Macaca mulatta: one gene and its partners. The protein of the gene in region 1 binds, or shares a complex with, the protein of each later gene. Links are inferred from orthologs where the notes say so. Each region holds a gene or a part of one and is shown in the gene's direction. Other genes may lie near its edges. The genes, in order: SNRPF, SF3B2, SART1, CWC15, GEMIN4, SNRPG and BUD13.

Region 1 (4,088 bases):
GGCTGTCACCCCGAATCAGACGGTAAGGTAAGATTTCCACAATTGTTGAAAGAGCCTGACACATAGTAGGAACTCAAAGTCTGTACAAAGACTTAAAGTTCATGAAACAATATACAAACTAAGGAAGAAATCCACTTAAGTTTAGGGTGAATAAATCTAATAACTGTTTGGTAAAAACTACACTGACAATGACTGTCTTGTCAGTGTTCAACACTTATGTGAAACACTGAGCTTTTACAAGGCCAAGCCCCGTTTTAGGTTAAATTCTCGCAACCACGCTGAGGATGGTTCCGTTTTTAAAGCCGCGTTCCTGCCGTGGAAACAGTGGCCCTGAGGGTTAAGACACTGCCCAACACCGGCTGCGCCTGATAGACGCAGGTTCCGAATGCAGGCCCTCTCCAAAGTCTTGCCCACTGCTCCACAGTGCCTCAACAACCAACATTTCATCCTCAACCTCAAATCCATCTCTTCAGGGCCGCAAAAAAGCGTTACTTCCCAAAGGGCGTGTTCTCCAAGAACTGCATTTAGCATTTCAGATCAGAGTGAGCCGAACTCACTAGGATTACGACAAAAACCAGTGAGATTCAGATAACACCGTTACGTCGAAAGTTTTAATCCGTGACAGCGGAAATATTGCTTACGCCCTTAGGTAATTTCAAATGCACGTAAGAAGGCCGTGCCAGTCTCTGCTGGCGATGCAAAAGAAAGATGGGGCCGGCGGGGTCGTGGGGGGTGGGGGGACATGACACCGTATCCCAGACACAACCTGACCTCGTTTAAAATAAATTCTGTATCCGACTCCCTTCGGTGCGTTTCACCGCCCCTAGTCTTGTCTGGCTACCCCCGAATTCCTTTAAAAGGGGTTGAAATGGGTGTTGCAGAAGAGAGAATACTCAGGTAGAAACGGCCTGCGGCAGAGGCGCCCCCAAATCATGGAACCTGTTGGAAGAGTGAGGAAGGAACTCTGGGATCCTGAACATTCTCACGGGTGTAAAAAGACAAAGTAAAATCCCCATTAACCAAGTTGGGGAGAAGTCACATCCGTCACACAGCCTCTCCCAGACCGCACATTTACAACACCGGCCTGCCTCCAGTCCTTGGCTGCCTCACCTTGCTCCTCAGAGCGGGTTTCCCAAGACCCGCGCGCAGCCGGCCAGGCGCAAACTCAAGCCGCTGCTGGTTGCCAGGAGATACTGGTCCAACCATCTCCTCCAATCAGCGCGCATCTCTTTTCGTCCAATCACAGAGGCAGGAAGGGCCGTGGTGGGAGGTGAAAGGTCACACTCCTGTTTGGCGGCCATTTTTCTTGAAATTCAGCGGCTCGGGACCTGGGGTACCTGCTGTAGTCACGAGGGACAAGCGGCAGCCTGGTCGGCAGTGAGTAGCCTGCAATATTCGGCCGTGGTTACGATGGTAAGGAGAACGAGAACGGCGGGAGAAGCGGGGAGAAAGAGAAGGAGGGAGACCACCTCGCGGGGCCTAGTGGTTGCTTCGCGCGTTTCCCATTCATCCGCGTGAGGCGCCGCGCACCCGGTCGCCAGCTTCTTTCACTCTGCTTTTAGGATTTCTGAGGCGCGTGCTCCTCCCGATGCCTTTCTTTTTCTAGGAGTGCCCGTGCCTTCTCCTCTTTGTTTGAATCCGGGCTTGGGATATTCTTATTTGTGGCTACAGGGTCGGGGTAAAACTCAAAGAGAATTTGCACTTCCCACTTAACCACACTCCAAAATTCACTTTCATTGCATGAAAGTAATGATACGGCCATGCTCTAGTTTAACTCGGTTGGGGAAGACAGACAGTCAAAAAATAACAAATATGCAATTGCAAGTAATAAGTGCTAAGAAGAATGCAGACAGGAGGCTGTGAGGGTGCGCGTTAGACATTTAGAGGCTTAGTCAGAGATGGCCTCCCTAGGAGGTGGAATTTAACCTGAAGCCTAAGTGTCATGAAATAGACCCTTTAAAGAGCAGGAGGAGGAGTGTACCGAGCACAGAGAATAGGCGCATAAGACCTGCGGCCGGAAAGAAAGCTTGGTCAGTTGGAGAAATTGACAAAAAGGTACAGCCACTTGCAGGAAGAGTGGTTACGAGATGGTGTCGGAGGAGCAGGCGTTGGACAGGACCTCTTAGGCTGTATTGGGAGGTTTTGATTGTACTCCAAATCAATTGAAAATGATTGAGTTGGAAGCCATTGAATCATTTTAAGCAGAAATATGACAATTTGATGTGCACTTTAAAAAATCATGTTGCTGTGGTGGATAATAAATTGGAGAATGAAAACTGGAGACCCATTAGGTTATTGGAGTAATCGCCGCATCAAGTCACTCCGAATATGTTTATGTTAGAGGGGGTTAGTAGCCAAGTTTCTTAGTTCTGTTCTTTCTTTGACTGGTGAGTGAGCAGAAAAAGGCAAAAACCGAATTCACTGGAGATGTTAATGGTTTGCTGAGCAAACTTTAAGTGATTGCTATAAGAGGCAGTGCTAGTGACAAAGTCATTTAGGACCTAGCCCTAGCTTCCACAGTTAAAGACTGTCAAGCGTCATCTGCCCTCTGCTTCCTTCTGTAGTCTTATATTTGGGACTTTGACTGACAATGCTGAATTGTATGTCCCCAAAATCACCTTGTTGCTTCACTCTTCCCTCCTTTTACATAAGTAGCTAGCCTTGCCTGGAACAGGATTTTTTCCCGCTCTGGAAATAAATTCTCATTCTTTAAAACTGAGGTTAACTTATTTCAGGCAACCTTTCCTTTTTTCCCTGGATTGCTTCGGTACCCTTGTGCCTAGTATATCTCCTCTTATTATGTTGCAATATGCAGTATAATTATTTGTATGTGAGGAGCCCCCCTCCCCATCTCCAACTTCTTGACAGGGACTCTGTTATTTATTTATGACAAGGTCTTGCTCTGTTCCCTAGTAGCCGGGACTACAGGTGTGCACCACCACATCTGACTATTTTTGGTAGAGAAGGTGGTCTCACTATGTTGCCTGGGCTGGTCTTGAAATTCTGGCCTCAAGTGATCCCCCTGCCTTGGCCTTCCAGAATGCTGGAATTACAGATATGAGCCACCCTTTCTGGCCCGCATTTTTTTTTTTTTTAAGTGCCTTTATCTTTGTTTCTTTAGAGCTCAGAACAGTAAGTGATGTATGTAGTCGGTGTTATCTTAAGTGAATAGTGAGTATTTTGTTTTGATGGGTTAAAGGTGATACTGGCTAACTGGATATTTAAATTTCCCTGGTACTCTCCAATAAATGAAAGTGAAAATTGTGTACTAAAATAATGAGTCAAGAGTTTTCTTCATTTGCATACCACAAAATATTGGTATTTAGTAGAAGAGAGTTGGTGGTGGGAGGAAAAATAATTAATTGGATCCTTTTTTGTTCTTTGTGCAGAGTTTACCCCTCAATCCCAAACCTTTCCTCAATGGACTAACAGGAAAGCCAGTGATGGTGAAACTTAAGTGGGGAATGGAGTACAAGGGCTATCTGGTATCTGTAGATGGCTACATGAACATGCAGGTAAGCTAAAGAGCTGTAAAGGTCATAACATTGCATTTAGTTTGCTTCACCTTATTGCTCAAAGGTTTAGTCTGACTAATAAGAATACATACAATTAAATTGACAAATGTACGGCAAAATTAAAAAATAAAGTCAAAGCCAGGGAGGATACTATGATATACTAGGTACAAGACATGGACTTAAACCAGAATTCAGCCACAGATTTTATTCCTAGTAGTTAAAGTAAGAAGAGCTCAGACATTTAATTCATAATAATACTGTAAGGGAAACACACTACTTTGCTGGAGAAAACAAAACATTTCTCATCATTTAGCCCTGAAAGAAAGTTTTCAAGTGAAATTCATGAGTCTTTTAATGAATGATGCTAAAGGCACAACACCAAAGTTATTGAGGAAATTCATTCCTTCAGGGGAAAGACACATCTGCCGAAGAAATTGAACTGACTGTATGTCTGTCAAATGAGTTTCTGTAAATGATTCAGCCATGTGTTTTGGTGGGGTTTTTTTTGTAATTAATTTTCTTTTTATTGTGGTAAAATATACATTACAATTTTGCCACTCTAACCATTTTTAA
Region 2 (3,500 bases), on another chromosome or scaffold:
CTTAGCCAGATGTGGTGTCTCAACACCTGTAATCCCAGCACTTTGGGAGGCTGAGGTGGGAGGATCCCTTGGGGCCAGGAGTTTAAGACTAGCCTGGGCAACATAGTGAAACCGCATCTCTACTTTAAAAAAAAAAAAAAGAAAAGAAATAATTTTTTTTTTTTAGTTTCACTTCAATCTATCAGAAATAATTTTATCTCAAGAATGTCTTCAAATTTATTCTTATTTTAAAGTAATCATTAAAAAAATTGACAGATAAGAGTCATTAAAGTAAAAAAGTAGTATTGTTAAACTTTAGATAGAAACTTCCGCCCCTTAAGATAAATAGATTCTGAACAAGCTAGCCTTCCAAAGTTAGGAAAACTCAGTAAGAAATTGAAGTCATGTTTTCAACGTACGTATTTTGGTTTCAGACAGCAGAGACTCTGCCATGACAGAAGAGGTTATTAGCATACTTTCTGCCTCCTGTCTCCTTATCCTGTTGCCTCCAGATTTTAGTTGTTTATTAATTTTGGTTTCTAATGCTTCATAACATTTAATTTTATTCTGCAGTCATAATTTCCAGAGTTCCCAAGCGTCAGCTCTGTACTTTTGAGTGTGCCTTTTCTCTAGGGCTTCAGAATTTCTTTTGCAGCTAAGGAGTGAACTGATTGTGCTCACTGTCTTGCAGAGCTGTTCCTTTGGGTACCATGCTGGTGGCTGGGGCAAACCTCCGGTGGATGAGACTGGGAAACCGCTCTATGGGGATGTGTTTGGAACCAATGCTGCTGAATTTCAGGTATGGGCTATGTACTGGCGATCTTGGTTTTACTTAACATCATGAAGGTTAGAGATTGTTGGTTTATAGCTTCATTATCAGGGAGTTGCGTGTTCTGACACAGCAGAGCCTGGAAAAGGGCAAACATTTTCCTGAGATGTTAACGCAAGCCCCTCACTGGAATTTGAGCTCTAGGTAGGTAGGGATTATTGTCTGTGTGTTGACTCTTAACACCCCTTCAGCTTAAAACAGCCTGGTACATAACAGGTACTTAGAAAACATTTGTTGACTGATTAAGTGATTTCTTTCAGACCAAGACTGAGGAGGAAGAGATTGATCGGACCCCTTGGGGGGAACTGGAACCATCTGATGAAGAATCCTCAGAAGAAGAGGAAGAGGAAGAAAGTGATGAAGACAAACCAGATGAGACAGGCTTTATTACCCCTGCAGACAGGTGGGGGAAGCAGAGAGTGCCTCTTGGAAATGGCTTATCTTTGGGGGCCTTCTCTTTACTCCAGAGCTTGTTCCTCTCTTCACAGTGGCCTCATCACTCCTGGAGGCTTCTCATCAGTGCCTGCTGGAATGGAGACCCCTGAACTCATTGAGCTGAGGAAGAAGAAGATCGAGGAGGCGATGGATGGGTGAGGGTGCCAGACAGGGCTTCACTTCCCGTTGGCTGACTGGCTGACTGTTGTTCCTTTCTCCCCCATCCCTTTTTAAAAAATTATTGAACCAACTCTGCCAGGCGATACTCCAGGCAGGGAGGAGTCAGCAGTTGAGGTAAACTGGTAATCAGAGAACAAGATACTTTCAGATGTAGATAAGGATGCTCAAGCAGAGGAAACTGGGTAATGGGATGGGGTGGCAGGGAGGCCTTTGGGAAGGCCTCATTGGGGAGGTGGTGCTTGAACTGAGACCCGAATGGAAAAGCGCCAGCCACAGGATCATCTGGATCAGAAGTAACAGTAAGTGCAAGCAAGTGCAAAGGCCCTGAGACAGGGATGCGCTAGTATTTTGAAGCTCCATTTTTAGGTACTTGAATGTGTGGTGTTGTTAGGTCTTCATGAATTGACCCCTTTATCATGAAATGACCCTCTCTTTATCCATTCTGCTCTTTGTTCCCTTTTTCCTGTTTTTATACCTTCTTTTGGATTACTTGAACAATTTCTATGATTCCATTTTATCTCCAGTGTTGGTTAATTAGCTGTTAAGTTTTTGCTTTGTTATTTTAGTGGGTGCTCTGGGGTTTATCGTAGATCATGTCTATATCAGGATCTAGCTTCTCTTGATGTCACACTGCTTCCAGATGGCATTAAGAGCCGCGATAGTGTACTTCGCTCTCCGCCCAACTTTGCACTGTGTTATCATGTATTTACATGTTATAAATCCTGTACTGTATAGTTATTTTTGTTTAAATGGTCAGTTATCTTTTAGGGAGGTTTAAATAAGAATCATGCATGAAGCCATGTAGTTACCATTTTTGTTTCTTTCATTTCTTTGTGTAGATACAGGTTTCTATCTGATATCATTTTTCCTCTGCCTGAAGGGCTTCCTTTAATGTTTCTTTAGGGGTCATGGTGGCTTACGCCTGTCATCTCAGCACTTTGGGAGAAGGCTGAGGTGGTAGATTGCTAGAGTCCAGGAATTTTGAGACCAGCCTGGGCAACATAGTGAGACCCCATTTCTACAAAACAAACATTTCTTATATTGTGGGTCTGCTGGTTTTGAATTCGTTCAGCTTGGGTAGTCTTAAAAATTCTTTATTTGGCCTTCATTTTTGAAAGATCTTTGCCAGGTATAGGATTCTAGGTTGACAATTTTTTTTCTTTCAATACTTTTTTTTTTTCTTTTTTGAAATGGAGTCTTGCTATGTCACCCAGGCTGGAGTGCAGTGGTGTGATCTTGGCTCACTGCAACCTCCACCTCCTGGGTTCAAGCGATTCTGCTTCAGCCTCCTGAGTAGCTGGGATTACGTGTGCATGCCACCACATCCAGCTAATTTTTATATTTTTGTAGGGATGGGGTTTTGCCATGTTGCCCAGGCTGGTCTCGAGCTCCTGGCTTCAAGTGATCCACCTGCCTTGGCCTCCCAGAGTGTTGGGATTATAGGCGTTAGCCACCACATCAACCTTCTTTCAGTACTTTTAAGATGTTGCTCCAGTGTCTGTCTTCTTTCTTGCATTGTTTCTGGTGAGAAAGCTGCTGTCATTCTTACGTTTGTCCCTGTGTACATAATGTGTCATTTTTATTTGGCTGTTTTTAAGATTTTATCGCTAGTTCTAACAATTTGACTGCAATGTGCCTAGGTGTAGTTTCCAAGTGTTCCTTTGCTTGGGGTTTTTAAAGCATCTTAGATCTGGGTTTTTAGTTTTTATTAATTTGGGGGAAATTTTGGTCATGATTTCTCCAAATATTTTCTCTGTTCCCTTCTCTTTCCTCTCACCTTATTCCTCTGTTAAGTTGTCCCACTGCTCACTGATGCTTTTCATTTTTTTTTTTTTTTTTTTTTTGAGACGGAGTCTTGCTCTGTTGCCCAGGCTGGAGTGCAGTGGCCGGATCTCGGCTCACTGCAAGCTCTGCCTCCCGGGTTCACGCCATTCTCCTGCCTCAGCCTCCCGAGTAGCTGGGACTACAGGCGCCCGCCACCTCGCCCAGCTAGTTTTTTGTAATTTTTAGTAGAGACGGGGTTTCACCGTGTTAGCCAGGATGGTCTCTTATCTCCTGACCTCGTGATCCGCCCGTC
Region 3 (3,500 bases), on another chromosome or scaffold:
AGGTGAAGGATTGTTCCTTCCTGTCCTGACCCCTTCTGGCCCCCTGAGCTGGAAGGGGGCAGGGTGAGTGGCTCCCTCCTCTCCCCACCAGCCATGGGCGGGCATAGCCTCACGTCTGGGCCCCCCTTCCAGAGGCGGGCACCAAGGAGGAGCCCGTGACAGCCGATGTCATCAATCCTATGGCCTTGCGACAGCGAGAGGAGCTGCGGGAGAAGCTGGCGGCTGCCAAGGAGAAGCGCCTGCTGAACCAAAAGCTGGGGTGAGGGGTCCTGGCCAGGGCAGGCAAGGGAAGGGCTGGGGAGGCCACCATCCTTGGCTGCCTTTTGAGTGGGGTTGGGAGCAGGAGCTGGGCTCCTGGAGCATCACTTTCTCCCCTCTTCAGGAAGATAAAGACCCTAGGAGAGGATGATCCCTGGCTGGACGACACTGCAGCCTGGATCGAGAGGAGCCGGCAGCTGCAGAAGGAGAAAGACCTGGCAGAGAAGAGGGTGAGCACCTGGGCAGCATGGGGTGGTTGCCCAGTGCTTTTGCTGGCCTGACTGGGCATTGAGGCAGGGGGTGGACCCCAGAGAGTTGAGACGGGGTTCGGAGAGGGGATGGGCTGTGGTTGGTAGCATCCGCTTTGGATTCTCAGCAACTTTCCTGCAAGGCCTGCTCTTTTTGCACTCCGCTTGGTAGAGCCCTGAGTGTTTTCTGGTGGTGCTGAGTGGCCTGAGGTCCTAGGTCACCCCTCCCTGTCCCATAGGCAAAGTTACTGGAGGAGATGGACCAAGAGTTTGGTGTCAGCACTCTGGTAGAGGAGGAGTTCGGGCAGAGACGGCAGGTGAGGCTGCAGCAGCCGGGGTGGGTGGTGCAGGGCACACTGGCGGCCTTGATGCTGGAATCCCAAGGTTGGGCGCATGGAGGGAGGTTCTTTACTCGCCTGATTCTTCTGTTAGGACCTGTACAGTGCCCGGGACCTGCAGGGCCTCACCGTGGAGCATGCCATTGATTCCTTCCGAGAAGGGGAGACCATGATCCTCACCCTTAAGGACAAAGGTGACGCGAGCTGGGTGCCTTGGGTCGGGGCACAGCCTCTGCTGAGTTGTGGACAAGTGTGAATGGCCACTGCTCTGTGCTGCCCGCAGGCGTGCTGCAGGAGGAGGAGGACGTGCTGGTGAACGTGAACCTGGTGGATAAGGAGCGGGCAGAGAAGAATGTGGAGCTGCGGAAGAAGAAGCCCGACTACCTGCCTTATGCCGAGGACGAGAGTGTGGACGACCTGGCGCAGGCACGGCCCAAGCAGGCTGGGCGGCGGGGGCTGGGGTGGAGAATGTCGGGAATAGGGGCTCTGAGGAGGTGGTGGCTCAGTGGCTTTTCAGGAGCCACCCTGGGTCCCAACCTGTACCTCTTACCTTGTAGCAAAAACCTCGCTCTATCCTGTCCAAGTACGACGAAGAGCTTGAGGGGGAGCAGCCGCATTCCTTCCGCTTGGAGCAGGGGGGCATGGCCGATGGCCTGCGGGAACGGGAGTTGGAGGAGATCCGGGCCAAGCTGCGGCTGCAGGCTCAGTCCCTGAGCACGGTGGGGCCCCGGCTGGCCTCCGAGTACCTCACACCCGAGGAGATGGTGAGCCCTCTTGCGCCTTGTACTTGGGGTCATGATTCTCCCTCCCCTTGGGGCTCCTGCGCTGCCCGCAGGCACTGGGAAGAGAGGGCAAGTATTTCTGTTCACAAAGCGCTTGGCCTCGTGGGCAAGCAGTAAATGGCAACCTGGGGAGGCACCAGGTGTTGACGGGTCAGGGCTGCTGAGCCAGATGGGCCCCAGTTGGTGTTTCTGCTCTGCCATACTGCCAGCTTGTGCCTTGGGTAAGCCATTTAACTGTGAGCCTGGGGTGCCCCATCTGGAGTGGCAGTGATAGGAGCCACCTCCTGAGGTTGCTGTGAGGATGAGTGACAGTGTGGCTGAGGGGTGACTGGAAAGGTGTGCGTGGATTCTGTCCGCAGAGTGACTGTGTGAACGTGAGGTAGTCAGCTGGTGTAGTAGGCGTCTTGCTCAGTGGGTAAGAGCAGGACTCTGGAGCCAGACTGCCCGGCTTTCCCACCTAGGAGCTGGGCGACCTTGGGGAAGGTACTTAACCTCTCTGTGCCCCAGTTTCCCTAATCACCAGTGGAAGGGAGATAGTAACCACCCCACGTGTTGCTCATGTGTGAGAAGTGCTCAGGACACTGGCTAGCACAGAAGAACACCAAAGAAGTGTTCATCCTCGCGGGCTTGTGGTGGCCTGCCTTTCCCCGCCCCGCCCCACGCCTCCCTCTTCCCCTCAGGTGGCCTTTAGAAGGACCAAGCGGAGGGTGAGGAAAATCCGCAAGAAGGAGAAGGAGGTCGTAGTGCGGGCGGATGACCTGTTGCCTCTCGGGGACCAGACTCAGGATGGGGACTTTGGTTCCAGGTGGGCTTGGACACCATGGTGGGGTGAGAGGGCTGGGCTGGGGTGTCCCGGGGGCCGGTGCTCACCAGAGAGGCCTCCTTCCCTCAGACTGCGGGGACGGGGTCGCCGCCGAGTGTCTGAGGTGGAGGAGGAGAAGGAGCCCGTGCCTCAGCCCCTGCCGTCGGATGACACCCGAGTGGAGAACATGGACATCAGTGATGAGGGTGAGGGCCTGGCCAGGGGGTGGGAGGGGGCAGGGACAGGAGCCCTGGGTTGGAGGAGATTGTCTGAGCAGGCATCCCCTGTGTATCCCCCAGAGGAAGGTGGAGCTCCACAGCCGGGGTCCCCGCAGGTGCTGGAGGAGGACGAGGCAGAGCTGGAGCTGCAGAAGCAGCTGGAGAAGGGACGCCGGCTGCGACAGTTACAGCAGCTGCAGCAGCTGCGAGACAGTGGCGAGAAGGTGAGGCTGGGCATGGGCAGGCCTGGGGCTACCAGTGCGTCAGCAGTCACCTGTCCTCACGAGCACATGTGTCATAGGCAACAGCCACATTCCTGTCTGAAGCCTCTTTTCCATTTGTTTTTTGTTTTCTGGGTTTTGTTTTTTTTTGAGACAAGTGTTTTGCTCTGTCGCCCAGGCTGGAGTGCAATGGCGTGGCCTCGGCTCACTGCAGCCTCCGCCTCCCTGGTTCAAGTGATTCTCATTCCTTAGCCTCCTGAGTGGCTGGGATTACAGGCACCTGCCACCACACCCGGCTAATTTTTGTATTTTTAGTAGAGACGGGGTTTCACCGTGTTGGCCAGGCTGGTCTCCAACTCCTGACCTCATGATCTGCCTGCCTCGGCCTCCAAAAATGCTAAGATTACAGGTGTGAGCCACTGCGACCAGCCCTGGTTAAAGTCATGTTTTCTGTTTAAAAGTCATGTTTTGCAAAAGTTTTTAGATGCCTGCTTTAGTAGGGGATCCTTTCCTGGCCTGTCTCTTCCTGTGCATGTTTGTTGAGTGCCTGCTGTGGGTAGTGCATTGTTCTTGGGCCGAGAAGGTCATTGGTGAACAGGACAGCCACGGGGCCCTGGACTCAGGGAAGTGGCT
Region 4 (3,500 bases), on another chromosome or scaffold:
GTTTTTCTGAAATACTTGTTATGCCTTTGGCTTTAAGAAGTGACATATATTTGCTTGCTGTTATTCAAATATAACCCTGACCTCAGTGCTAAACTTTATAGTTGATTTTAAAACAAAAAGTATTATTTTGTGGGACTTTTAAGAACAAGTTTGGTCTCTAGAGAACCAAATATGGAAGGAATCTTAAAAGACATGCTTTCCCGCAAAATAATGTCCTGTACTAAACTACTGCACTATGGTGTGTTACACACCTCTACAGGGCACTCTTCACACTGGGTTTCCTATAAACAGTGCCCTCTAGAGTTGTACCTGGAGGCCTTTCCACATTAGATATGCCCCTTTCTATAAGTGGAGTACACTTAATGGTTCCCTCTGTGCTTAGTGAGGGAAGTAATCTAAGCAGAAGGTTTTTAAGGATTAGCACATCAGTTAATGATAAAATTCTGTGGGACCCTAGAGCCTATAATCAGTTTGCAGTTTTCTACATACAGGACAGTGAAAAACCTGAGTGGCATCCAATGAGTAATATCTACCTGTGTATACATATCAGCAGTTAATTCTAGAGTTAAATGATGGAGTTACTCATAATAGTTAAAACAAGAAACCTAATTTCAAGTGAAATTTAATGATTATTCATTTGAAATTATTTTCTTCTGAGAAATTAGCAGTTTTTTGCACTTTTGATTATCTTTACTTGCTAGCTTAAAGTTGTTTTGAGCTACATAAAATTGTTTTGACTTTCTTAGGGTGATATATTGTACATATGTACTGTGTTTTGGTAATGTATATTTTCCCTCCAATCTTCTGGGCTCTCACTGTTCTTTTAGGAAGAAGATGAAGATTTTGAAGAAGAAAGTGATGATGATGATACTGCAGCTCTTCTTGCAGAACTGGAAAAAATTAAAAAGGAAAGAGCTGAAGAGCAGGCCAGGAAGGTAAAACCAAAGTGTTAAATATTTACATCTCTCCTCTCACATATACTAAAGTAGAAATTTTTTTGAATATAAGTAATACCTTCTTATATTAGAAATCTCCCTTACTGTGTCTAAATATTATAGCACTTGTAGATCTATAAATCTTATTATTTTTGTGACATCCTAGGTATTCTGGTTATGTTAAAAATTATTTCCCAATAGTTCAGATACATTGAGTAATATTCACCAGCTTGCTAGTCATTCACTAGTTTATTCATTTGTTCAACATTTAGTCAATATCTGTTAATTGACAGGAGAATCAAAGATGATCAAGATATAGTCATGGTCTACAAAGATTATCTCTCTGTCTCCTGCCTAGGTACTATTAAGGCAATTAGTCAGTAGATATTATATAACCTAGGTCAAGCTACCTAACTTTGCTGAGCCCCCACAGTCTCTCCGTTTACACAATATGAGGAAAAAATATAAAACTTAAAGATAGTTAAAACTCTTAATGAATTACCCAGAGTGATAATAAGAGGTGAAACTGAGGAGGCAAGCACAAGTCAGAGCATTAGAGATTTGCAAAACAATGCTGAAGGAGTCTAGATTTTTTTCTAAAGGACATGAGGAGCTGGTTGATTTAAGCAGGAGATTGATAAAATTGGATATGCATTTTAGAGAGATTACTCTGGCAAAAATACGCAGGATGGATTGGAAAAAAACTGAGTTAGGAGGCTGTTTCAGTAATCTTACCAATTAAGAGACTCTTAACTTGTATGATAGGAGTTGGAATTAAGATAAGTAATTAGATGCTGATAGAACTGATTATCAAGGAGGTCAAAGTGGGAAGGGGAGCAGGAAAAAATAAAAAATAAAAGAGGTAGAGTTGACAAAGTGACTGATTGATTGTGGCAGCAGAGAGGACCCTCACTTTGTAGGTAAATGTTGGTGCTGTACATCAATACAGGGAATGCAAAAGAATTGCCATATTTATACAGAGAGAAGAGGTAGTTGATGAGATCTGTTTTGAACATACTGAATTTGACACATTATAAGACATTCAGGTAGGGATGTTTTCAACCAGAGCAGCACAGCTTTTTTGTAGATTTCTGTGTAAAATTTTATTTGATGCAAGAATTGTTCTGTTTTTAAAAAAGAAAGTAAAAAAATATACTACATGGTCAATACCAGGAATCTAGGGAAGTGAGTTCATGTGAATCAGAAGGGCCAGGGAAGAATTCAGAAAAGAGGTAGAATTTGGGATGGACTTTGATGATTAGAATTCAGATTGGAAGAAGGAAGGCATTTTAAAATACAATTCTCATCAAAGTTTTGTATTATAAGACAGCATAATTCCTATAACAGCTTATAGTTTTTACATGTAGTTTTTAAGTCGAAGAATTATAAAAACATTCCCAATCCCACTTGCATACCACTAGAGGGCAATTGTTCCAAATTCTTTTAGCTTGCCTAATAGTTCTGGACACATAAAGAGATGAGCAATTTAAATGCTTTTGGTTGACCTTGAGGGACGATAAGCATTTTAGACAGAAGGCCTTGCAGTTTTGTGAGTTTCATGTAATAAAACGTGTTGATATTTCTTGGAGTTGAATGATAGTTTAGTTTCTTTTAGCCCTGTTTCCCTTTCTATTGGCTGGTTTTTGCCACGTCCCAAATTTAAGATTTTTCAAACCATTTAACCCTTGTCAGGGGTCAGCACACTTTCTGTAAAGGGCCAGGTAGTAAATATTTTAGGCTGGCTGGTCATGGAGCCTCTGTCGCACCTACTCACCTCCACTGTTGTAGCATAAAAACATCCACAGAGTACATAAACGAATGAGTGTGGCAATGTTCCAATAAAATATCTACAAAAACAGGTAGTTAGGATTTGACCTACATGCCATCTGACAACTAGCTTATATTATGAAACATAGTATGCCTGCTGTTTGAATGTTGAAAGAGTTTATGCCTTTTTTTCCCAGGGCTGTTAGTGACAATCATTCAGTAACTCCAAAGGAAATAATATTCCAAACATAAAATGTCCATGACCTTTGTATGTCATACACATTATATTATAAGTTTGGATATATTGTATACCTAAGCTCCTATTTTTCTAGTATTTCAGAGAAATATCTTTTCCCTTTAAGCATCAGTATAATTTGTTACAAATAAATATATAGCTTTTAGAGAGCTACTTGTACTTAATCTGTGATGGATAGTTCCTGATTTTATTTAAATTCTGACCAGTGATGTAAAGGAATTTTCCTATTTCCTTACAAGTTAGATCTTCTCACCTCCTATTTTCATTTTTATTTTTCTCCATAAAAATGAAATTCATTGTTTACATTTGAATATTGAAATGAATATCAGTAATCTGTATGAAAAATTAGGTTATTAAAATAATAACTTTTTAAAAAATGATTTCCACACCATCTCTTTTTCCTTGATCTATTAAGTCATCGATTTCTGTCATCCCCAAAACACAGCAAAATGGGATTTATATTTAGCTTAAGATAGCATGTTAACAGGTAGATCTAGAAGTGATAGCTAAGGATTTTAGACATTTTATATTCCAAATTCTGA
Region 5 (4,300 bases), on another chromosome or scaffold:
AGGCCGTCACTGGAGAATGGTCTCCTGCCCTCAGATCTTGGGCGTTTCCACAGCACACTGTGCCCCTCTCTCCTGCCAAATACCTACATACGCTCTTGTAATAGGAGGGCTGGGAACTCCACCCAAAACCATACAAAAAGCCAGTCTGTGTATTTGGACGCCTCCCCAGCACTCAGTCACCGAGTTCCTCCAGTTCCTCTGTTCCAACAGCAGTCGGTCACTCTCACGCAGTTTAAGTGATTTATTGATGTCTCGGCTAAGCTTGCGACAGTTTCAGGACGTTTCAGCCATCAAGGTCTAAGAATCCCTTTCCATTCCCGAGGAGCCCTCAGCCAGCCTCTTCCTTCTTCACCTCCTCACTCTGGCCGCGTAGCCCCTCATGGCGTCCATCTTGGACACCCCTTTGTTCGCGCTCCATGCCGCCCACTTCCTTCTTCAGCTCCTCACTCTGGCCGCCTAGCTCCTCACGGCGTCCATCTTGGACACCCCTTTGTTCGCGCTCCCTGCCCCCCACTTCCTTCTTCTTCAGCTCCTCCACTTTGGCCGCGTAGCTCCTCATGGCGTCCATCTTGGACACCCCTTTGTTCGCGCTCCAAGCCTCCCACTTGGCCCTGGCCTTCACGTCTGAGGCCGGAGGGGCGGGGATGCCGCAGTCGCCCTGGGTGGCCTGTTTGTAGAGGCCGTAGATCAGCAGCTTCTCCGGATCGCTCACAGGACCCTTCAGCTGCTTGAGGGCCGCGCGCGCCAGCTCGAACTCCACTTGGCACATGAGGGGGTGGAGGCGGTGCCTGGTGCTCGAAGCTGGAGGTGGAGAGTTGGAATGGCGGTTACTACTCGATCTCAGGGGGGAACGCAGGCAGGCACACGATGTTTGTGTTTTCTCAAGCACAGGCTGCAAGCTCGGGGTCCCGCGTACTGGCGCCACCCCACCACGTTTGGGCTCACACGGTGCATTTTCTGGGGAGGAACAGCCGTCAAAAGCGTCTAGGATCCGGGCCGCTGCTGTCTGAAGGGGGCGGCGCCGCGCGGCAGGAGCGCGTTGAGGGACTGTGTGGGGGGCGGACTGGACGCGTGGGAGTGGAAGGCTCGCGCGGTGCGGCCGCGCTGGGTAGTGGGCGGCCCGCGGGAGGCGCTCGGTGGCGGTGAGCTGTGTGCGGGGCACGCCCGGGGTTACCGGGTGAGGGTGAATGCGGGGCCGGGGACTCGTGAGCCGGACCCGCTGAGACCCCGGAAGCGGGCCAGGGCAGGGGACGGTGCGGAGGGTCTGGGGAGCGACGCCTGGTACCTGAGGGTGGGTGGGAGGCCTCTGCCGGAAGGCGGCGCTGTGCGCTTGGCGCGCTCGTTCGTGAGGACTGCGCGTGCGCAGGGGAGACTGTGGGCGGGGCCTGAGCGCCGCCGCCGTGGCGCCTGCGCCGTCCATTGTGCTGTGCGTCCCGCGCCGCGTTCGCGTTCTCGGAGTAGAGGGGGCGTTAGCCCCGCTCGGCCGCCGGCGTCGCCGCCATGGACCTAGGTGGGTGTCGCGTCTCCTCAGCCCCGGGCTGCGTCTCGCGATGCGCCACCGGGACGGTGCCGCCCCGTCGCGTCTCCTCCTGCCGCGCACGCTCGCTTGGGCCCGGGCCAAAGCGTCCACCACGTCGGGGCGGGTCTGGGGGTCCCCGGGTGGCCTTGACGGGGGTGGTCCGGGTCCCGCTGCGCGTTGGGCCGGGTCTTGCCCACTCCGCGGGAAAACACCGAGCAGACGTAAAGTGAGAGCCCCTGGAAACGCCCGGGGCCCGGGGCTCGCGCACGTGCTTTGAGAAACGGGCTTTCTCCGAGCACCCCCGGGTGTCCCGGCGGCCTCATTTTCTGAACGGCAACTGCGTTCTTGAGCAAGCGTCTTAGGCTCCAAGTGTCTTACGCTCATCAGGTTTCCTCATCGACAGAGCTGGGGGAATGACAGTGTGTCTCCCCACTGAGTGTTGGGCGACTTTTCATGGAGATCGCCGAGGCACAGTGTCCCGTGCAGGGCTGCGCGGGTCACACCGCGGTTGGGGCGGCTGTGTTCCTGAGGCGTCACTTTCTGAACCTGCGTGCGTCCTGATTCAGAATCTTGCAAGGTCTGGGAGAGGGGGAACCCTGGAACTAGGAGCTCCCTGCTAAGCCTCGACACAGGCTGCTAAGACCAGGAGGCTGTTCTGGGAGAGCTGGGGGTGAGGCACCCCGAGATGTGTCAGCAGTAGTAGGCTGGGGGGAAATGGTCTGTTCCCCGCCCCCAGAGAGCTCTTCAGGAGCGGTATGGCAGAACTCTTAGGGCTTGGAGCCCCTTAGCCGTAATTGCTTCCCAGCCCCACCACATCCAGGCGGGGGCACCCTCAGCAAATCGTTTCTGCGCCTCAGTGTCTTCTTCTCTAAAACCGGAATAATAGTCCTCAAAAGGTGGTTGTGAATCGAAGAGATCTTACATGTGCACCACCTAGCACCGTGCCTGGCATGGAGTAGGCGCATAATAAACCTTAGAAGCGGGCTCTGGTAAGCACTAATTAACCATCCGTGATGAAGCACCGGAGTGTTTTCCAGCTAGTAACTGACTTACTACTTCAAACTGTGGGTACTTACTGCGCCTGGAAGGCAGGTGTTGAGGGCCAAACATCTGCTCAGCTAATCCAATAATGCAATAAAATAAAATTTACAGCGTCAGGAGGGACCATATTTTGGGACCCTGGGAGAGCCTCCTGAGCCAGAAAGAAGGGCCGTAACCCCCAGAGAGGTCCCCTCTGCAGCCTGACCTTCCCTGGGAGTCAGATTCAGCCACTGTGAGCTGAGATGGATTGCCTCCACAAGTGGGTTACATAGTGCTGAACCCTTGTCCTGCTGCTGCTCTCATAAATGGTGGGAAGGGTAAGATGGTCCTTAGTTTCCTGGAGTCAGCGTTTTCTCTGCTGGTGTCTGGCCTGGGAAAATGGGGAATATGAGCTCTCGTGGGCATGAGAGACTGAGGAAGGAGTAGCATCTCTCAATCCTAGGAGAGGGGAGAGGCCTCAGGAATGAGGAATAGGAAGCAGTATTTGTACCCTCGTTTTAGTTTCTAGGCCAAAGGAAACATGCCTGATAAAGGCCTATATCCTTTGATGTTTCTGAGCTGGGGGAGGCAAAGAATAGTGACAAGATTCTGGTCCTGCCAACTATGAAAAGGTTTGGGGAAACCAACATTTACTGAGTACCTAACTAGACTCTGTAACCCGATTCTTATTGTAGCTGTATTTATCTATCATAGCGTCCCGGAGAGATGGGGTCAGGAGATAGCAATACCAACCCCCTAGAAAGGGCTTGACTGGTATATATCACATGATCCTCAAAGTTATAACATGAAGTCTGTATTATCCCCACATATGCAGAAGGAAGGCTTGGAGAAGCAACTTGACCAAGATTACATCCTTTTTTTTTTTTTTTTTTTTGGAGATGGAGGGGGTTCTCATTATGTTACCCCAGCTAGTCTTGAACTCCTGGCCTCAAGGATCCACCTGCCTCAGCCCCGCCAAGTAGCTGGGATTACAAGTGCTAGCCACTGCACGTGGCCAGAATCACATTGTTTTTAAATGGCTGAGCTAGGATTTAAACCCATGTCTGATTAAACATCCCAAGATGCTTTCCATGGTAAGTCTGTGTCAATCGTTAGTTCCCTGAAGGAAGGCTTAATCTAGCACAGTATTTTCTGTATCTACTCCCTGGTTTCTCCCACAGAGCAGGGCCATGAGTAGCTTGTTTTTGACCAGAAGGAGCTGTGGGGTGGACTGTTTACCTGAAAGGTAGAAGAATGTTTGAGGCCTGTTCCCAAGGCAAGGTTGTAAAGGGTGAAGGCAGGGCTTGTCTGATTCCTTCTGTGCCCATTACTCCATGGCTGTGTGATTGCTCTGTGCCCATTACTCCATGGCTGTGTGATTGCTCTGTGCCCATTACCCTGTGGCTGTGTGATTGCTCTGTGCCCATTACTCTGTGGCTGTGTGATTGCTGTGTGCCCGTTACCCTGTGGCTGTCTGATTGTGTGCCCGTTACCCTGTGGCTGTGTGATTGCTTCTGTGCCCGTTACCCTGTGGCTGTATGACTGCTTCTGTGCCCATTATCCTGTGGCTGTGTGATTGCTGTGTGCCTGTTACCCTGTGGCTGTGTGATTGCTTCTGTGCCCGTTACTCTGTGGCTGTGTGATTGCTTCTGTGCCCGTTACCCTGTGGCTGTGTGATTGCTCTGTGCCCTTTACCCTGTGGCTGTATGACTGCTTCTGTGCCCATTACCCTGTGGCTGTGTGATTGCTTCTGTGCCCATT
Region 6 (4,059 bases), on another chromosome or scaffold:
TCAGCACTCTGGGAGCTGGAGGCAGGCGGATCTCTTAAGGCCAGGAATTCGAGAACAGCCTGGGCAACAAAGCAAGACGTCGTCTCTACAAAAAAAAAAAAAAAAAAAAAAAAAAAAAAAAAAAATTAGCTGGGTGCAGTGGCTTGCGCCTGTAGTCTAAACAACTCAGGAGGCTGAGGTGGGAGGATTGATTGAGGCCAGGGGTTCGAGGTTGCAGTGAGCCATGATCACATCATGCATCCCAGCCTGGGTGACAGAGCAAGACCTCATCTCAAAACAAAAAAAAATTTTTTTTTGCAAGACCCATCAGTCGGAAATAGATTGAAATTCTTGGAGACAGGCCCAGTCACCTTACTCTCCAAATGGTGCAGAGGCTGCTAATTTGCATGTTACCGGAACCCTACTTGGTCTGAAAGTATGCTGTAGGATACCTGCCAAAGAAATATAGAGGCCCGGCTGGGCGCGGGTGGCTCACGCCTGTAATCCTGGCACTTTGGGAGGCCGAGGCGGGCGGATCATGAGGTCAGGAGATCCAGACCATCCCAGCTAACACAGTGAAACCCCATTTTTACTAAAAATACAAAAAATTAGCCGGGCGTGGCGGCGTGTGCCTGTAGTCCCATCTACTCAGGAGGCTGAGGCAGGAGAATGGCGTGAACTCAGGAGGCGGAGCTTGCAGTGAGCCGAGACCGAGCCACTGCACTCCAGCCTGGGGGACAGAGCGAGACTGTCTCAGAAAAAAAAAAGAAATATAGAGGCCCATTCCTCCAGGGATCATTATTTGGTATTTTGGTTTAGATGAAGAAAACAAGCGATACGATCCACAGACATGCGGGATTTGCCGGGTTTGCCCAGAAGTTAGAGAGGGGACTGTTATCTCAGTATTTCAATTTTATTTTTTAAATAGAGGAGGGGGTCTCCCTATGTTGCCCAAGCTGGTCTCGAACTCCTGGGCTCAAGAGATCCAAAGTTCTGGGATTTACGGCGCCAGGCTTTTTTTTTTTTTTTTTTTTTTTTTTTTTTTTTTTTGGCTGTTCCATAGACAAGAACACGGATACTCCATCGTCAGAATACCCGTTATCTCAATTTTGCCCAAGGAAAACCGAATTTAGAAAGGTGCCTAGAGGGCCCACCCCTCTGTCCTGGCCAATAGCTGACGACGCAACCGGAAGCTCAGCAATGACCGAGGCGCTCAGATATCGCGATGTGAAGTGTTAAAAACTGCCAACAATCGATTGGCTAACTAGGTCGATGACGCCAAACGCAAGACGCCGGGCCTACCGCGGGAGCCTGAGGGAAGCCGTGCATTCAGTTCCAAGGCGTCTGTGAGTCCGCGGAGTATACGCCATGAGCAAAGCTCACCCTCCCGAGTTGAAAAAGTAAGTATGTGTGAGAGCCAAACCGAAGTGGTCGCTTCTTTGCGTCCCCCGAGTCCCTTGGTGTTTCAAGCCGAATGGCTTGAGCCGCTTCACCTTATTTCTTCTTCCGGTCCGAGGTCGCCGGCATCCCGGCCAGGCTCCGGCTCATGAGACGTGAAGCCCGCGCAGAGCTCGCGCATTGGCGTGGTTACCGCCGGCAGCCACCGCACCTCCTTCTGGCCGACTAGTCTCTCTGTCCCGCGCTCCGGCCCCTAGTCACCCGGCGCTGTCCCTCGTTCCTTGAAGATCTCCAATGCCAGCTTTTGTTGAACATCTCTAATAGCATCATATTCTAGATAGACGGCTAGAGGGGGAAATTCTCTAAAGGAACTAAGGAGGGGATGGAAGGGAAGTGTTTTTAAAACTACGTGAGGCATCGGAATCCAAAAGCCACTTTAGCCTTAGAGAATGTGTTTGTAGGTGTTTCTTTGAGCTTTTACTTAGAAACCTCATTCTTTTTTGTTGCCTATTTTTACATTAAGCTTGAATGTCATGTGTTATCTTGCTCTGATATTGAAACTATGTAAGAACATTCATTTCTAAAATTAATGTTCTAAAAAATAAAATTTTTTTTAGAACATTAATTTTTTTCTAATCAGAGAAGGCTAATTTTTTTAAGTTTCTTTTACACACCCAGTAAAGACAAACAACTTTAAGGAGGAGAGCCTTAATTTATGTAGGACTCAACGTAAAACTTTAAACTCCTCAAATACTTTTTGACTGGACTTAACAGGTTATGTGTTTCCTCAGTACGTCTCTGTTTTGCTTGTACTCCCTGATGCTGGAATTCTACATGTATTTATTGGATTGCACAGAGGATGCAAAATTTTTACAGGAATCAATTTTTTCTGGTGTAGCATGTGGTTGGCTTTGTGTATAGTTCATTTATTACCAGGCCCCTGGAAGTCAGACATAAGGAAAAGTTCCTATTTAATAATTTTGCGGCCAGTGGCGGTGACTCACGCCTGTAATCCCAGCACTTTGGGAGGCCAAGGTGGGTGGATCACCTGAGGTCAGGAGTTCGAGACCAGCCTGGCCAACATGGTGAAACCCCCCGTCTCTACTAAAAATACAAAAAATTAGCCAGGAATGGTGGCACGCGCCTGTAGTCTCAGCTACTCGGGAGGCTGAGGCAGGAGAATCGCTTGAACCCGGGAAGTGGAGGCTGCAGTGAGTCAAGATCTAGCAATTGCCCTCCAGCCTGGGCAACAAGAGCGAAACTCTGTTTCAAATAATAATAATATTGCATTTAAAGGTATATTTGTATCAAAGCCATCTTTTGTATGAAAACTACTTTCATGTATATTTTAGTTAGGTCTGTTAAGGAATTAATTATTAAAACATAGCCCAACGTTAGAAAAATAGAAGTTAGAAATTATTGTGAAAATTACTCTTTTTATCTGAAAGTTATTTTATTGGTGAGTTGGTGATGTAAGTATCCTCTGGATTCATCAGGGACTGGTGAAATGGTGATTTTTCTTTTTTTAAACAAAAGCACCATTCTCTACTTGTAATCTAAGATTTTATTTGTGATTCATAACATAGTTTTTGAAAATTTCAGAGAAGGAAGCTAGTTTTAATACCTTTCTCTTCTCATCCATAGGTTTCATGAATTGTGAAATCCCGTGAGATCTGCCGTCAAAATGACTTTCAAATTTTTTCTTTCTTTGCTTTCTCACTGATAGCATCTTCTTTTACACCATTATGCCCTCCTTCTGGCTTAGCGTAACTCAGGGGTTCTTAAATGGGGGGTAAGGAATCTGGTGACACCAGGGATGCTGCTAAACATCCTACCGTTATTCGGCTGCCCCCAACAATACAAAATTACCTGGTCCCAAGTGTCATTAGTGCAGAAGTTGAGATACACTGGCTTAACCGAATTCTTCCTTCCACTTCTTAAAATTTGCTGCCACAGTGGTCTTGCCAGTGACAGCTTTAATAATTTATCACAGTATGCAAAACTGAATCTATACTTAAGCCAGCATTCAAACGCCAAACCTTACAGCTGCTAATACTCACGTGTTCTCTTCTCCAGTCAGACTGAACTATTTGTGTTTGCTCTCACTTGCTGTGTGACTTCGAAAAATTGATTTACCTTTTCCAAGCCTAGTTCTCCATCTGTAAAAACGGTAGAAATGACAGACCATAATTGCATGCAAAGTCATTGTAAAGATTGTATAAGATCTTGTGTTATATTTGATATGTTTTATGTATCTTATTAAAATAGTTTTGTTCATCATACTTCATAAATGTGTGTATATATTATATATAATATGTAATATATATTACATATATAATTTTACATATAATATTACATATATATTACTTTTTTTTATATATATACATATATATATATATATATTTTTTTTTTTTTTTTTTTTTTTTTTTTGAGATGGAGTTTCACTCTTAATTCCCAGGCTGGAGTGCAATGGTGCAATCTCGGCTTACCGCAACCCGTGCCTCCCGGGTTCAAGCAATTCTCCTGCCTCAGCCTCCCGAGTAGCTGGGACTACAGGCATGCACCACCACACCCGGCTAATTTTTTTTTTTTTTTTTTTTTTTTTTTTTTTTTTTTTTTTTAGTAGAGACGGGGTTTCTCCATGTTCATGTTCATCAGGCTGGTCTTGAACTCCCGACCTCA
Region 7 (3,500 bases), on another chromosome or scaffold:
ATGATGGTAGGATTTTCGGAGAAGTAGAGGGCTGTTACGACCTGGATTTAAATTCCAGTTCTGCCACTTGTTAGCTTGTGATATTGAGAAAGTTACTTAACTTCTCTGAGTCAGTTTGCTATTCAGTAGTGTGGAGCCTTTCTTTGCAGGGTTATTGTGAGAATCGAGTTAGATTATATGAGTAAAACACAAAACACAGTACCTTGCACATAGTTGCTACTCTGTAACTAGGATTTATTATGCCATCATTCTTTGAAAATTTGTCATGTGGAAAAGGGATCAGTTGCATCAGAGGTCAGAACTAGAATCAATTCAAAGAAGTTATAGGAAGGTAGAGATGAGACCAGTAAAACTAAGAACTTTCTAACATTTTTGAAAAATGCAGTGGACTGCGTTGTAAGATAATGAGGTCCTTGTCAGGAAGGGATTGGGTGAGTGGCCATTTATTAGGAATACTATAGAGAAGATTCTGATTCGTTCGGAAGTTTGGAAGATAAGAAATGTGGTTTTAGCTCTTAAAGATTAATGATTCTGTGTACATCTCAGTGGCTGTTTTTGGTTGTATTCAAGAAAATCTATTATTGTGACTACCTACAACAAGAAAGGTTTCATAGAAACCCAAAGTCCTTGATTAGTGCTAGGCATGATGGGGGGCCACCGATGTTTTCACTCTTAATGTAGAAGTAAAAGTGTATAGGAATTTAGTGTTAGCTTACAAGTGGCTGTTGTGTACCTAGCAGGTTAATAAAAAGGTTTGTAATGAAAGAAATTAACCTTTGCGGGGAAATTGAATTATCCAACTAATACAGTGACAATCAGGTGCTTATGGAGCTAGCATAACTGAAGACCCCTACTTATTTCTTCATGACCATGTTGGATATGTGTGCGCCCTTAGGTTAGGAATCGGAATGGTTGTAACTTCAGGTTCTTGAGACAGTGCTTCTTGGCTGGATCCTGTGGATTTCCTCAGCATAGGAAATCTTTACTCCCACAGGTGGCAGAGTTTGTGGATGAGCGGCCGGAAGAGGTAAAGCAGATGGAGGCCTTTCGTTCCAGTGCCAAATGGAAGCTTCTGGGAGGTGAGTTCCAACAGTAGATAAATCTAAATCTCCATTAGTAGGGGAGGTCTTTTTTTCTTTTCTACACTTTTCTTTTAGAGGAATGCATAGTTTTTTTTAGCATGTCATTGATCCTGAAAAATAAAGCAGGAAAAAGGAAGCTGGACTTCTTCAGAAGTAGTAAGACATAGGAACTTAGAGACCAGATATTCCTCTTTCTCTTGTATTTTGGCATTAGGGTTACTGAGGTTGGTGACTAATTTGGAGGCCTGTGAGCACCCATTCCTCTGACTCAGAATAGGAGAGCCCTTGGTATATAGGCAAGACTTTGGGAGGAGTTTACAAGAAACAGGAACAGAATTTGGGGACTTTAGCTACCACTGTCCTCTTCCACAATGAAGCAACTCATTTCTGGGGGGGTCAAGGACCAATGTTTTTTGTTCTGTTTGTGTTAGTAAATTTCTCTCTTCTTTCCTTAAATATTGGTATTTTATAGTGCATTACCCTCCACCTGCCCACTTTAGACTCTTCCTAAGCTAATATTTATAACTTAACTCTCTTGAAAAAAATTTGAGTCCTTGAGACTTGGATAAAAAGTGTTTGTGTGTCACATCTGTTTGAGCATAGACTGGTCTTATTTGCCATGATAGTCCCCTGTCTGGCACAAGGAGCTGCCTTTAATAAATATCTGTAGAATTGCTTAATTGCTAGTAGGCATTTGATTTTTGTAGCCTAACCAGAATTCTTTTCCACAGAGAGTCTTTTGGTCTCCATATCTTGTTTGTCTAGGAAGACATACAGACACACACACACAGTGCTTTTCGGTATCTGAATGTTTAGAAAGTCAGTCACACACACTCACTCACTCACTCACTTACTCCTTTTCTTCTGCCTTGCTTTCACTTCCTCATCCCAATCTGTTACTGGAAATACGTTTACCAATCTCTGACCCTTACTTCCTTCAGATTTACTGTTAGGCCCCCCACAGACATCATACTTTTCTCTGTGGAGTGGATTCCAATCAGATAGGCCTGTTCCCCAAAGTAAAGGAGGTGACTTGGTTTAATTCATTCATTTAGCAAGTGTTCATTGGTTCCTGCCCAGCCTTTATTTTTATTTGGGCTATGGGGCTCAATGACAAGAGATAGAGGTAGAGGAAGAACTGGATTTTGAAACCATTCCAGATGCTATAGATGTTTCATTCTGTGGTGCCTTTGAAAATGGAAGGTCTCAAACTTGTATTTTAACTTTAAAGATTTACGTATTTTAAAGATTGCATATGGACTCTGGAGTCAAATAGAGCTGAATTTAAATATTCCTCCACCACTTATTAGCAATATGACTTTGGCAAGTTAATCTTTCTGAGTATTAACTTCCTCATCTATAAAATGGAAATGACAATATTTATGTCCTAGGCTTATGAGAATTGAATCAGGTAATCTCTATAAAACATTGGCACACAGTAGGTGATTGGTAATTACTTGCTCCTTTCTTTTTTTGTGATTTTTTCTGCTCTCTAACAAAGAGCACAGTGAAATGGATTAAATAGTTAACAGCATTTGATTTTGATACTCACCGTTTTAGTCAATTTACCTTTTGAAAGAGGAGTGAGTACAAACTATAAAGTATCTAGGCAAAATATCAGTAGGAGCCACTAGCTGGGAACTCTGCACAAATGAGGTGTTAGAAAGAACATTGGACTGGGAGTTAGAAGACTTGGATTCTAGCCTGTGTCTTCATCTTAGTAGCTGTGACCTTGGGTAAGAAATCGCTCAGCTCCTCAGCTGAAAACAGAGGCTCTGTTCATAATACAAGGGTACCTGCCCTGCTTACCTTAAAGGGTATAATATGAAAAATGTACTGAAAATGCTTTGCAAATTTATGACTTGGTAGGTGGAGGGGTTATTCTTAAGATATTCAGAGTGGTGATTTGCTGCCGCTAAGCAAGAAAACTGTGCAGGCCTTTTGGGCTTTTTGAGCAGTTCTGAGGTATGTGCTGCTGGAGCATGTCTTGAAACTGGGTGTGGGGGTGGACAGAGGGACAGAGCATTTGTGGGAATCTGACTCTTTGTTTTTTGTGTTTAGGCCACAATGAAGACCTACCCTCACACAGGCATTTTCTTCACGATACCCTAGATTCATCTCCTAGGAGAGTCCGTCATGATACCCCAGATTCATCTCCTAGGAGAGTCCGTCATGATACCCCGGATTCATCTCCTAAGAGGGCCCGTCATGACACCCCAGATCCTTCTCCCCTCAGAGGGGCTCGTCATGACTCAGACACATCTCCTCCCAGGAGGATCCGTCATGACTCCTCAGACACTTCACCTCCAAGGAGGGCCTGTCATGATTCTCCAGATCCTTCTCCTCCCAGGAGGCCTCAGCATAATTCTTCAGGTGCATCTCCTAGGAGAGTCCGTCATGATTCACCAGATCCCTCTC

What was found.
Region 2: SNRPF (region 1) and SF3B2 share a complex: the UniProt entries of both Homo sapiens proteins name them as parts of the minor spliceosome. The link is inferred for Macaca mulatta from reciprocal best matches to the Homo sapiens genes SNRPF and SF3B2.
Region 3: SNRPF (region 1) and SART1 share a complex: the UniProt entries of both Homo sapiens proteins name them as parts of the U4/U6-U5 tri-snRNP complex. The link is inferred for Macaca mulatta from reciprocal best matches to the Homo sapiens genes SNRPF and SART1.
Region 4: SNRPF (region 1) and CWC15 share a complex: the UniProt entries of both Homo sapiens proteins name them as parts of the minor spliceosome. The link is inferred for Macaca mulatta from reciprocal best matches to the Homo sapiens genes SNRPF and CWC15.
Region 5: SNRPF (region 1) and GEMIN4 share a complex: the UniProt entries of both Homo sapiens proteins name them as parts of the SMN-Sm complex. The link is inferred for Macaca mulatta from reciprocal best matches to the Homo sapiens genes SNRPF and GEMIN4.
Region 6: SNRPF (region 1) and SNRPG share a complex: the UniProt entries of both Homo sapiens proteins name them as parts of the U7 snRNP complex. The link is inferred for Macaca mulatta from reciprocal best matches to the Homo sapiens genes SNRPF and SNRPG.
Region 7: SNRPF (region 1) and BUD13 share a complex: the UniProt entries of both Homo sapiens proteins name them as parts of the minor spliceosome. The link is inferred for Macaca mulatta from reciprocal best matches to the Homo sapiens genes SNRPF and BUD13.

Annotation. Positions count from the first base shown.
Region 1 is NC_133416.1:103,187,271-103,191,358, forward strand, and holds the start of SNRPF (small nuclear ribonucleoprotein F), read left to right. Parts: upstream 1-1,288; 5' UTR 1,289-1,410; coding exon 1,411-1,413; intron 1,414-3,389; coding exon 3,390-3,515; intron 3,516-4,088. UniProt on the Homo sapiens protein: Plays a role in pre-mRNA splicing as a core component of the spliceosomal U1, U2, U4 and U5 small nuclear ribonucleoproteins (snRNPs), the building blocks of the spliceosome.
Region 2 is NC_133419.1:8,350,164-8,353,663, reverse strand, and holds part of SF3B2 (splicing factor 3B subunit 2), read left to right. Parts: intron 1-670; coding exon 671-778; intron 779-1,068; coding exon 1,069-1,211; intron 1,212-1,296; coding exon 1,297-1,398; intron 1,399-3,500. UniProt on the Homo sapiens protein: Component of the 17S U2 SnRNP complex of the spliceosome, a large ribonucleoprotein complex that removes introns from transcribed pre-mRNAs.
Region 3 is NC_133419.1:8,451,985-8,455,484, reverse strand, and holds part of SART1 (U4/U6.U5 tri-snRNP-associated protein 1), read left to right. Parts: intron 1-132; coding exon 133-259; intron 260-382; coding exon 383-488; intron 489-745; coding exon 746-823; intron 824-938; coding exon 939-1,038; intron 1,039-1,127; coding exon 1,128-1,270; intron 1,271-1,401; coding exon 1,402-1,608; intron 1,609-2,306; coding exon 2,307-2,431; intron 2,432-2,518; coding exon 2,519-2,634; intron 2,635-2,727; coding exon 2,728-2,870; intron 2,871-3,500. UniProt on the Homo sapiens protein: Plays a role in mRNA splicing as a component of the U4/U6-U5 tri-snRNP, one of the building blocks of the spliceosome. May also bind to DNA.
Region 4 is NC_133419.1:95,759,036-95,762,535, reverse strand, and holds part of CWC15 (spliceosome-associated protein CWC15 homolog), read left to right. Parts: intron 1-827; coding exon 828-935; intron 936-3,500. UniProt on the Homo sapiens protein: Involved in pre-mRNA splicing as component of the spliceosome. Component of the PRP19-CDC5L complex that forms an integral part of the spliceosome and is required for activating pre-mRNA splicing.
Region 5 is NC_133421.1:2,295,180-2,299,479, reverse strand, and holds the start of GEMIN4 (gem-associated protein 4), read left to right. Parts: upstream 1-1,500; coding exon 1,501-1,510; coding exon of another isoform or gene 1,511-1,903; exon of another isoform or gene 1,904-3,358; intron 3,359-3,372; exon of another isoform or gene 3,373-3,633; intron 3,634-4,300. Other genes in the region: uncharacterized protein LOC721152, read right to left, coding at 329-1,903. UniProt on the Homo sapiens protein: The SMN complex catalyzes the assembly of small nuclear ribonucleoproteins (snRNPs), the building blocks of the spliceosome, and thereby plays an important role in the splicing of cellular pre-mRNAs.
Region 6 is NC_133418.1:54,435,964-54,440,022, forward strand, and holds the start of SNRPG (small nuclear ribonucleoprotein G), read left to right. Parts: upstream 1-1,259; 5' UTR 1,260-1,347; coding exon 1,348-1,379; intron 1,380-1,495; exon of another isoform or gene 1,496-1,826; coding exon of another isoform or gene 1,827-1,834; intron 1,835-3,021; exon of another isoform or gene 3,022-3,122; coding exon of another isoform or gene 3,123-3,169; intron 3,170-4,059. UniProt on the Homo sapiens protein: Plays a role in pre-mRNA splicing as a core component of the spliceosomal U1, U2, U4 and U5 small nuclear ribonucleoproteins (snRNPs), the building blocks of the spliceosome.
Region 7 is NC_133419.1:117,438,531-117,442,030, reverse strand, and holds part of BUD13 (BUD13 homolog), read left to right. Parts: intron 1-994; coding exon 995-1,079; intron 1,080-3,143; coding exon 3,144-3,500. UniProt on the Homo sapiens protein: Involved in pre-mRNA splicing as component of the activated spliceosome. As a component of the minor spliceosome, involved in the splicing of U12-type introns in pre-mRNAs.